2 linked regions of the Schizosaccharomyces pombe genome follow. The gene in region 1 interacts genetically with each later gene. Each region holds a gene or a part of one and is shown in the gene's direction. Other genes may lie near its edges.

The links.
Region 2: mutations in ltc2 (region 1) and gma12 together harm fitness more than expected from each alone (negative genetic interaction), as found in Schizosaccharomyces pombe (one large-scale study listed by BioGRID).

What each region holds. Positions count from the first base shown.
Region 1 is NC_003424.3:2,484,506-2,491,164, reverse strand, and holds ltc2 (BAR and PH domain-containing protein), read left to right. Parts: upstream 1-2,074; 5' UTR 2,075-2,227; coding exon 2,228-5,529; intron 5,530-5,627; coding exon 5,628-5,967; 3' UTR 5,968-6,082; downstream 6,083-6,659. Other genes in the region: guanyl-nucleotide exchange factor Sec73, read right to left, coding at 1-302; ymr1 (myotubularin family phosphatidylinositol-3-phosphatase), read left to right, coding at 6,419-6,442, 6,499-6,659.
Region 2 is NC_003421.2:315,187-319,792, reverse strand, and holds gma12 (Golgi alpha-1,2-galactosyltransferase Gma12), read left to right. Parts: upstream 1-1,940; coding exon 1,941-3,068; 3' UTR 3,069-3,966; downstream 3,967-4,606. Other genes in the region: msf1 (phenylalanyl-tRNA synthetase), read left to right, coding at 4,140-4,606. UniProt on the Schizosaccharomyces pombe protein: Involved in the O- and N-linked oligosaccharide modification of proteins transported through the Golgi stack. This occurs in cis Golgi where the enzyme transfers galactose from UDP-galactose to a variety of mannose based acceptors.

The sequences.
Region 1 (6,659 bases):
AAATCCGAAGACCAGTTGTGGTTGAAGTAAAACGAGTGCTTGGCTCTTGCGATCGGATAAAAAATATTTTTTTTCTTAGAAGAGGGCGAATTACTCAAGTCGGTCTGTGAATTACTTGTGAAAGATCCGCTTGACTTTAGTTTACTGTTATGCTCATTTAGTTTTTCTGAACGTTTGGACAGATATGTCTGACTAGACTTTTTAAAGAAAGAGGAGAAACTAGAAGCGTTAGGAGAATTTACAGTGGTATCCTTTTCGGATTTATTTGAAGACTCCTGGCTGGAAGGAATTCTGAAGGTCATTTCGCGCCTCGGCGCATGTAAGTTGAAGAAAAAGAAAGACTTAAAAAAGATTGAAGTAAAGAGAGACCTCGAAAATGAAAGGAAGATTCAAAAAGAAATGTAATGTAAACTTAAGTCAGGATCTAAATTTATAACAATTGGAGACAGTAGATAGATTTGTCGACTATACGAGGATAAAACTGACTGTAATAAGGAGAAAGCAACCAACGTATTACCTTTAATGAACAGATATTTTTTCCCGAATAATCAAAAGAAAAATCAATTGAGAAACTACCGAAGCGAACGAACAAGGGAAAAACAATTAGTGATTAATATAATGCATGCAGCATGGAATGAAATGAAATGAATGAAAAGTAATGAACTGGAAGGTATGGAAGATGAAAAATGGTTATGAACAAAGAACGAGAAACTGAAACGAAGATGTAAAAGTGAAACTTCTGTGAGACGGTTCAAATGAATCGAAATTTTTTAAAAAAAAAAGCACAAAAACCAAGTGTGATCTGATTTAGGCAGCGCAGAGCAAACCGAATAAGCAAAGCAACGAAAGTAAAATGAACTCTAGTAATTTGAAACCCTCAATGGAAATACGAACACAAAATTAATGAGCAAAAGTCATGTCCTTGGGTTGATAGCAGGAAATTTAATGAATCGTCAATTGCTAACCAATTCAACTAATTAATTTCCCTAGAATTTTAATAATGAGTACAAGTTTTGGTGCTCCAGAAAAAAGAATTGAAAAGTAAATACTAGTTTTGTTGGTTACAGTAGTGTTATTTGCTCCGTCCACAACATGCCCGTGTCTTTATCGCCCAATGCATACAAACCCGCCCACCGCAAGGTATTCTGCCACACCCTTCCTCGTATGACCAAATCCGACATGGTCTGATAGAAACGTAGATAGCAAATGGCTAGCACGATGTTCCTGATAATCTAATGGGGCAAATGGCACCATAATGTAGTTTATTTTTTTATTTCTAATGTCAATGATTTAGAAAAATTTAGTTCGCTATCGCAAGTGCTTAAGATACACTACTTCAAAATTATAAACATAACAAATATTTTTAACAAGCTCAGCTGAACATGTTTCTAGGTTGCACCCTTTACTCATTATAATAATTTTTTTTTTAAAAATTAATTTTGAAAGCAAATAGCAACCAGATGTGGCAATAAAAAAAGTAACAAGTAATTTACCCACAACAGAAAAATCTAGGTATTTTTTATAATTTTAGAGATGCTTTTGTTTTACTATATACATAATTCCTAACTGTTCATAAAATTTATTTAACCACTTTACCAAATATTTTGTTTACATACCAATTGAAGTACAACCAAACCTGACCATTACAGTTATTGATCGTGCTCAATTTGTATATTGTTTTATAATGACTTAAAAAAGATTAAGTGCAAACATCAAGTATAAATTAAGATACTATGCTCACAAATTAGTGCCACAATTTTTGTAATAAGGCTAACTCATTCTTAGTAAATTTTACTTAAAAAAGAAGAAAACGAAAAATTAAAAGCACTTTTATTTTTCTAATAGTAAATGTATTTATATTTATGATATGTATAAGGATGGAATCATTTCACTTATATATTTTAAGTAAAAATTCCTTAGCTAGCTGAAACATTTTCCTTGTGATTAAATTTCTAACACTCAGTTATTTCGTATTTGTTTACCTTATAATAGAAGTACTTAAATATCGTTATTCTAATATAACGAATTGCTTCATCTTGGTTAAAAAATGCAGCGTCACTCTTAAGTCAAAAACATCAAGTACGCCGCTACAAACATGCCGCATCCGACAGCCGAAAGCGCATATACCGGTTTAAAAATCATCCTTTAGACGAGTGGACATATCGTTCTTAATGCTTTCTTATATGAATTGAAGTTTTTGGAAACTAATAGAAGGAAATGAAAAATCATGGCCGCTCCTGCAAATGCGTCTTCAAAAAAGGATCATGTTATTCCAGTCTTACTGAACGAATGTAGCATTGATTCTCCGTCTTTTAGGGCGAGCATGTATTATCTAGGGAATCAAATCAAAGCGTTTAACGAATGGTCTCATGATTTCTTATGTTGCTGCAACAAGTTTATCGAGTCAATAATGGCGATAGAGCCCATTGTCGCCAGTATGTCGTTGAATGCTATGCCTTCTAATGTTGCTTCAGGATTTTTTGATCCTGATTATGCAACAACCGCTTTGCTTCACGGTCAAGACTTATTTCGGTCGTCATATATGGTGCAACTTCAACAAGCTAAAAATTTACGGAAATTTATTGTTGCTCCATTAGATCTATTTCGAGATTCAAAAGTTAAGCCTTTGCTTCAATTAAATGATCGCTTTAAAGCCGAGCAAGCCAAGTATGATGCGGAAGTCTTAAGGTATTCTTCTCTTGGACATTCAAAAGATTTATCGCAAATGCGGGATGAAGCAAAATCTTTATACGAAGCTCGTAAAAGTTATTTTACAGTTGCTCTACAATACGTAGTTCGAGTTACCTCCTTTCGCTCATCCATTGATTTCATAGTTATTGAAAGCATTTGCAAGTTTTCAATTGAAACGTTTCGTTTGACTGATCGTCTGCACGAGTCCAATAGGCATATAAATGATCAACTAATTCGCTTACTCTCTTACGAAACTAAACTTAAGGAATCTTATCCTTCACTAAAAAGAATAGTATCTAACGTTTTTGATAGAATTGAGAAGGAAATTCTTAAGAGAGTACAGCCACCAACTAATTTAGACGCATATCGTTTCGATCCCCAGCAAATATGTCAAACAAACGCAACTAAACGTCAAGGGTGGTTACTAAGAAATATCAGTTCTAGCAAGGCAGATAACAAAGCAATTTGGAGAAAATACTGGTTTTTTGTCGACAATGGCTATGTCGGATATCTTATTAATGATGCCAATGGTGGTGTTTTTGAGAGCGAAAAAATCGGAGTCCTTCTGTGTAAGTTTTCTGTTTTACCAAGCAATCATCGGAAATTTTGTTTTCAAATAAAAACGAAGTCCGTGAGCTACATTCTGCAAGCCGAAACTCACATGGAAATGCTTGAATGGGGCAGCGTAATAAATAACGCTCGAGAACACTGTATCAATTCCGGGATATCTGCTAACCGAATCTTGTCTCCTACCTTACCATCGTTTTCTGCTAAAGCTACATCAATTATAAATCCACAAGTCAATGGGCGCTCAAACTCTACGGGGAAAATAGGAAAAAATTATCGTCCTCGTCGTACTTATTCGGGACGATTGTTATGTGGTCCAAACAATTATGAAGTTTCAACTATAATGCGATCTCCCACAATTTCAACTGTTCCTCCTCCAAAGTATCTTTCAAATTCCATAAATGGCGCTAAATTCCTTAATCCGCTTGCTCCATGGACCCTAGTCAATGCACCACTGATAACAAATTTGACTCACGAAACGATAACCAGCCTTTTGGACCAGGAAGCCTTTTTTCATGGTAATTCTCCTTGCGCCTTACTGGCAAATTTTTGGGGTTCAGTCAATTACGGCCATGTTTTAGAGCGTCAGAACGTGTACATTGAAGATCTATCAAATCCTTCTTATAAACGTTTAGCTAGAGAAATTCACATTGAAAAACTTCCTTCTGAGCTTAAGTTGAGGAATGCTGAATTTAGAGGTATATTTGGTGAATCGGAAGCATCTACCGTTTTATTTGTATGCCGTGTTTGTAGTAAAAGAGAGGATCAAATACGTATGCCTGGTCGAATGTATTGCACTATGAAAGGGATTTACATATATTACAACATCAATGGATTGGTCCTCATTGAGCATTTCCCCATTTCTAGCATTTTAAACGTAAAACAATTTGCTAGTACTAAATGTGATTATTTTTACATGAATATCCAGAACATTGGGACTGTAAGGTTCCGTCTCTATCTCGATTCTTCGAAAGCTCTAACTGACCGACTTAATGTGTTACTGTGCAATTACATTGCCGATAAACCAAACAGTTCAATACAACTGTTGTCATGTATCAAAAGATTGAATGATGATGTAAAACGCTTTGAAAGGGGTGGTGACGATAATGCTCTCAAGTCTTATGGGGTACAGCCATCTCAAGAAGATCTCCTTATTCGAAGAGGAAGGAGTAGTAGAGCGCTAACTAATTTGATCAATAAGAATGAGAGTAATGATTCATTTATGGAAGACCTCAGGGACTTCAAGATTGCTATGCTTCCGAAAGAGACAGTCCAAGTTGTTCGTTCTCATCATCTGGACGATATTGTATTTGATCGAGTGTACAATGTTTCTACTAAGGCATTGTTTCATATTGTTTTTGGTGATAGAAGCACCGTGTTGTCTGGTGCTTACAATCTTCATGGAGTAGATGATGTCGAATTTTTACCATGGGGAAAAGATCCAAAAACCAATTTGAGTCGTCGATACATCAATTATAAGGTTTATAATTACGACCAAGAAGGTCAATGTCAATCTTACCACTATGAGGATTGCCAAATAATGGACGTCCGCAATGATTATCATTTATACATTATGACATGGCTTCATCACTCTTGGACTTTGCCTTATAGAGATTACTTTAAAATCGTGACAAAAACTTCTATATCTCACCTTAGAAGGGAGAAGTCTAGATTGCTCATATCTGTAGGCCTTGAATGGATCGTTAAACCTTTTGCTATATCAAAGGTTATTGAGGCTGAATGTAGAAAACTGGCTATCAAGTATATAAAAACGGAAGTCAACTTTTTGGAAAAGGCAACTAGAAGAGCAAGAAATCAGCCGCTTATTGCGATAATAAATCAATATGGAAGAGTAGGCGACTACAATGAATCGATGGTTTATCGAAGAAAAATACCTTTTAACTGTGAATTGAAAAACCTGTCAATTATCGATATTATTCGCAATAATTGGTGGCTTTTTCTTCAAGGATTGGCAATTGATCTACTAAAGCTGCCGTGGGCTGTCTTCCACATTTTCCTAAGATATTTATTTTCTCACTCATTTTTGGTTATTATTTTTGCTTGTTCGGTTATCTTGAACCTTTCTCTCATGTTTTGTTTTGGAGCTAAGTACTGGGATGAGCGACAGAATAACAAATTTGTCGGGCAAGTTTTCGATGAGTTTAAAAATATTGAAACTTCTGCTCGTTATGTTTATATGAAGGACGTTGATGATTTATTAGTCGGACTTCCTACTTATTTGCACCCCAACGTCACTTATCCAAGTGAATGGTAAGTTTGTTAGTAGTACCATGTAATTATAAATGTTGATTACATGTACATTATATTATCTTTTTTTTGTTATTATTATTATTCTAATCTTTTTACAGTTTACAATCATTTGCTTTAAAAAGTTCTCCTCAAAAAAGTCACTGGTTACGAAAACGGAATTATATTGCAGAAAAAAGAAAAAAAATATTGGAAAATTTGGCGTCTCTAAACTATTACGAATATATAATTCACGAGGATGCCGTATATCAATACATTCAACAAGAGCTGTTGGGATGTGACAAAGCAAGGGAATTTGATTTATACCCACCCTCGATGCAAAGGTATTGCGATTCTTGCACGCAAGATTGGAGGAACCGCACTTTGTTTTTCGGCAAAGACACTCTAGCTACAAGATTATTGACACTCGAGACTGTGGAAAACGCAGACTACGCTGCATAATTGTTAATGAAACTGTAACTTAATTATTTTTATTGTTATTTTATTATCTTTTTTATATTTAGGGTTTTATGAGTTATTTGATCAAGCACTCGTTTTTTTTTGTCAGATACACAAATTAATAAAGTTGAATTTATTAAACATATATATACCAAAGATAAGTGTAACTCCTCTACATCTTTCAGAATCGTCCTTTCTATTGTTTAATAAACAAGGTAATGATATGTCAAGTTGTAGCCTTGATAACCGCAATGATTACAGCCATGCACTTGGCAGCATTAATCGACAGCACCACCGTAAATAGTTTAAAACCTTCATCTATCTAAGTAGAACGCAATTACATTCTGCGCTAAACACATATTTAATTCTTTGTACTCATATTTTGTCACAGTACTTGATAGTACGAGGGTTGCTTCATTTTATTCAATTGCTTATAAAAAGAAGTTTCCGTGTGATGGAAAACATCAAAGTTGCAAAAGTAAGCATAATGCGATTAGATCTAAAACTTAATTTTATCAAAATATTAACAAATAGGTCGGAAATGTGAAGTTTGTGAACAAAGGAAACGAATTGAACGGAACATTGCATTTGACAGCGTATCATTCTATTTTTTCAATCTCGGAAAATGGGAAGGAAATTTGGACGGCATATTCCATGATAAATAATGTAAAGCTTTGCTCTAACGAAAAATCATT
Region 2 (4,606 bases), on another chromosome or scaffold:
AATTAGCACGTTAAAGAAGCTTTGGAAAGCTGAGTGAGCATTGCAAAAAAATTTTAAATGGAAGTAGACAAATTGACTCTTTTCTGCAATGTTCGGAGGAAATAGTTCCTTTCTGTATAATCCTTATTTGAAAGTTTAGGATTTGCGGAACCCTTTTTTTTCTTTTCCACCCGGTCCGATAGTTGTAAAGGGGACAAATTTATTTTTGTCCGTTTACAAAAATAAAGAAGTAAAGCAGTGTAACTAAAGGGGAAAACATTGAGTTTTATGGTAAAAGATCCTATGTTCCATTAAACATCGAAAAAGGTTTGTTGGCTTTGAATTTGAATGAAGTTACATGCAGTTAAGTTAGCGAAACGATCGATTGGAAATTCCTAAACAATCGGTATGGTATGGGATGGGACTAAATAATTGGAGGAACTTGCTATAAGGTAATTAATAATATAAAGAAGCCGATAATATACAGTATGGTAATAGAAACAAAGCAATGAATCTTGCTCAGTCATTACTAGTTTGCTCTCTAGGGTTAAATTAGTTGGATCAGTAATTTTCAATCGAAACAAAAATATTTAAATAAATACGAATTATGCTTTACTTAGATTTATTATTGTTTTATTTTTATTTATTGCTCTTTTCATCTTTTTTAGAAGTTTTATTGTCTTTCATGTTTGGAATAGAATTTTTTCCCATTAAGCGGCAGTACTAAAAAAAAATTATTTCGATGTCTTTTAAAACCTGAATGATACTATTATATCTCTTTAAACTACTTTTATTTCTAGCACTTGCCATGTTGTTTTGTAATATTGGCTTTACCAGCCATTTGACTTTTTCTTTGTTTACACTAACATCACCGCACCAAAGCGTCAAGAATTTACTGCAGAATTTTACCAAAGAATGTAGAAACTAATTTTCTTTGGAAATTCGGGATTGCATCGATGCACAAGTCACTGACTTCTATAAATACAATTGTTTAGCAAGCTCCCTTTTTTTATTTTCAATAACAGGTAACACGTTTGGCAGGTAACAAGGAGACAATTAATCCATCACTCCAGAAACATATTAGCATTCCCCCCCGATTTAAACCTGGCCTTAACTTACCACCAATTTTTTTTTGCTTAAGGCAATTGGTTTTGTGTTTGTTAACATTCTAATTGTAAGACCTTGACGAAAAACTGGTTTTAAAGGATTTTTTACTGAGCTAATTTATTCGTTTATACGGGCTTTGTTCATTTCGCTTTTGGTAATCTCACTTTTTTTTGGTTTCCAGAGGCATTTTTAAATTTCAATACTTTTTCTTGAGTTTTTGATTTTTGCTTTCTTTTTAGTTTTGCGTTGACAAGTACTGAATTGTAATCTTTATCGTGGATTTAATTAGATTCAAGTGATTTTTAACACCTACATTGCCAAGTAGTATTAAAGTATTCATTTCATTGGTTTGGACTAGTTATATACTTCAAACTGGTGTTTACTTCCTTCTTTCGCTTCTTTTTCTTTCTAAACTTTGCTATATTTTGCCTTCGTTCGTTAGGTTACTATTTATTTACAAATTGAACCTTTTCATATAGGTTCTCTACAGGGATTTTCTTACCATTACTTATTGTAACAGATTTCTTAGTTGAGAGAATATTTTCACTTGGGGGGGTTTTTTTTCTTTTTAATTCACCACACGTATCTAGGTTTTCTACATTCTCTTGGATACAATCTCTTTTATTGCACAGAATCTTCTTTGATTTTCGTCTAATATTCCTACTGTCGGTTCTTTTACCCTTCCTGTTTCTACTTTTTAAAAGCTCTCATATATCACTCATCACCATCCTTTCTCTAATTTTATCTTTCGTTCACTGCTTAATTTTGCATTTCTAAGGAAATTCTCCGTTCCTTTATCATTTTATTTTATTTTGTCTCTTCTATATTATTAGTTTACTCTTGATTATTTGACAATGCGGTTCGCTCCTTATTTAATTAGTGCTGTTGTAATTACAACCATAATCCTGGGTGGAGCTTGGTGGACTTCAGCTATGGATACCAAGCTTCAAACGAAGATGAAGGAGATCATCGACCAACACACGAGTACTTGGACCCCAGTCGTTTCCTCCGTAACCAGTACCCAAACTGATACTTTACGTGTTACCATTAGTGAAGTTGTTAGTGTTACTGCCACTTTAACCGAAACTTTCACTGCTACTCCAACTGTCACTTCTGTAGTTCATGCTTTAGCTACCACTGATCCTCATCCGGATAACTCTAAAATCGTCATTTTGATGGGCTCTAACTTTCAAAATGATGCTAACTCTCCTCTCCATCCTTTCGCTCAGTCCATTATCAAAAATCGTCGTGAATATGCTGAACGCCATGGTTACAAATTCGAATTCTTAGATGCCGATGCCTATGCTTCTCGTGTTACAGGTCATTTAATGCCCTGGGTTAAGGTCCCTATGCTTCAAGATACGATGAAGAAATATCCTGACGCTGAATGGATTTGGTGGCTTGATCATGACGCGTTGGTCATGAACAAAGATCTTAACGTCGTCGACCATGTGCTTAAGCACGACCGATTGAATACCATTTTAACTAGGGAGGCTGAATATAAGAGTGGTGCAGGTATCCCCGCCGATGGATTTAGAACTCCAAAGGATCAGGATGCTAAGGATGTTCATTTCATCATCTCTCAAGATTTTAATGGTATTAACGCTGGCAGTCTTTTTATTCGTAATAGCGAAGTTGGCCGCTGGATTGTTGATTTGTGGTTTGAACCCTTATATTTGGATCATATTCAGGGATATGCTGAGCAACAAGCGTTTTCTCACATGGTATTTTACCATCCCCAGGTGTATAAACATGTAGGTGTTGTCCCACTTAAGGCTATAAACGCATATGATTTTGATGATAATATTTGGGGCTATGACGACGGGGACTTGTGTATCCATTTTGCTGGATGTAACTATTTTAAGAATTGTCCCGAGAAGTTCCTTAAGTATGCTCAAATTTTATCTTCTAAACAAGGATCCGATTGGATGTCTGCTCAAGAAAAGGATCATATTCAAAATCTTTTGAAACCATCATCCTAGTTTTTTTCAGTCACGCATGGAAAAATACCTTGTACTTTAGACTGGTTTAATTTCATGATATTTGTCATTTTACTCAAGAACAACGTCTGTCCAGTATGTTGGTAGTTTTCTCAATTTTTTATTATCGGGGATAAGCAAACTCCTTCTTTCATTACTAATCAAGTCATTTAATTATCCTCCCCTCCTTAGTGAACACCTTAATAGTTTCTCCCTTTTCATGATTTCATGAGCTTAGTATCATTACGTTCAGGACCTTCTAATTTCGTGTTGGAGGATTTTAGTGTTGTCTAATCTATTTCCTTTTCTAAAGTCAAGTTTTGTATCGTACTTTAAGTACAAAGTTCGAGTTTTGCTGTTACGCTTCAAACCGTTTTATTTAATTTTTAAACCCCAGCCTTTCTTGGAGTAAAATGTTAGTAGATGACAAACTTGTTAGGGGTTTGAATGAATTTTCATACGCAGAATGCTGCTTTCTTTAAAATCGGGATGATTTGAAATGTTATTTGAAATGTTGAGTTTTTTGTAGCCTACATTACGATTGTACGGCTTATAGGACAGTGAAGCTATTAAATACTTGATCTAATATGACCGATTACAAGAAAGTCCTTGATAATTTTTCTGCACTTCTTTTGAAGTTGGCAACTTTATGTACAGTATGATGCTCTATCTTTCTAAATAAAGTTATGTCAGGAGTCTTATGGAAATAAAATTTGCAATTCGTCGTAATGAAATCCATTTGAGTGATAATGGCTTTTGAAATTAAAGCATATATTTTTTTTATGCAAAAACAATGAATGAAATATTTGTAAACTGACCAAATCTATAAACCACTGCTTGAAAATTAAACGATTCGAATTTTACTCCTTTGTTCATTGTATCCAAGAACGGCACAACCCCTATATTTGGGTACTATCATTTTTTTACTTTCAAATGGGACGCAATTAAGACCGATTGATTGAATTCTATTAAATTATTATTATATATTAATTTTAAAAATAGTTAGCTTCGTTGTTCTAATTTAAATTATCATTGTTTGATTACAAAAAGTGAAGTGTGTTATTTAAGAAATCAATGTTCCCTCATCGAGTCTCTCATTTATCGAAACTATTTTCGAGAAGGTTTCCCAATTGGAAAAGAAAAGTCCAAACAGATTCTTGGTCCAATGTCCCAGAGCATATTCACTCAAAAATTGGTCGAAACCTTTTTCAAAAAGAAGGTCATCCCATATGCAGTCTACGACAACTTCTCGAACAGCAATTTCAAAAATTCGAAATGAATAATGTTCAAAAAGAATCACCTATTGTTTCTGTAGAGACGAATTTTGATTCTTTAGGATTTCCCAAGACACATGTAAGTAGAAGCAAATCCGATACTTACTATATGAACAATAAAACTTGTCTTCGAACCCATACCTCGGCTCATCAACCTGAAGAGTTCTCTCGCTTGGCCAAAGAAGGATTTAAGAAAAATGGTTTCTTAATAACCGCAGATGTATACCGTCGCGATGAAGTGGATTCTAGTCATTATCCAATTTTTCA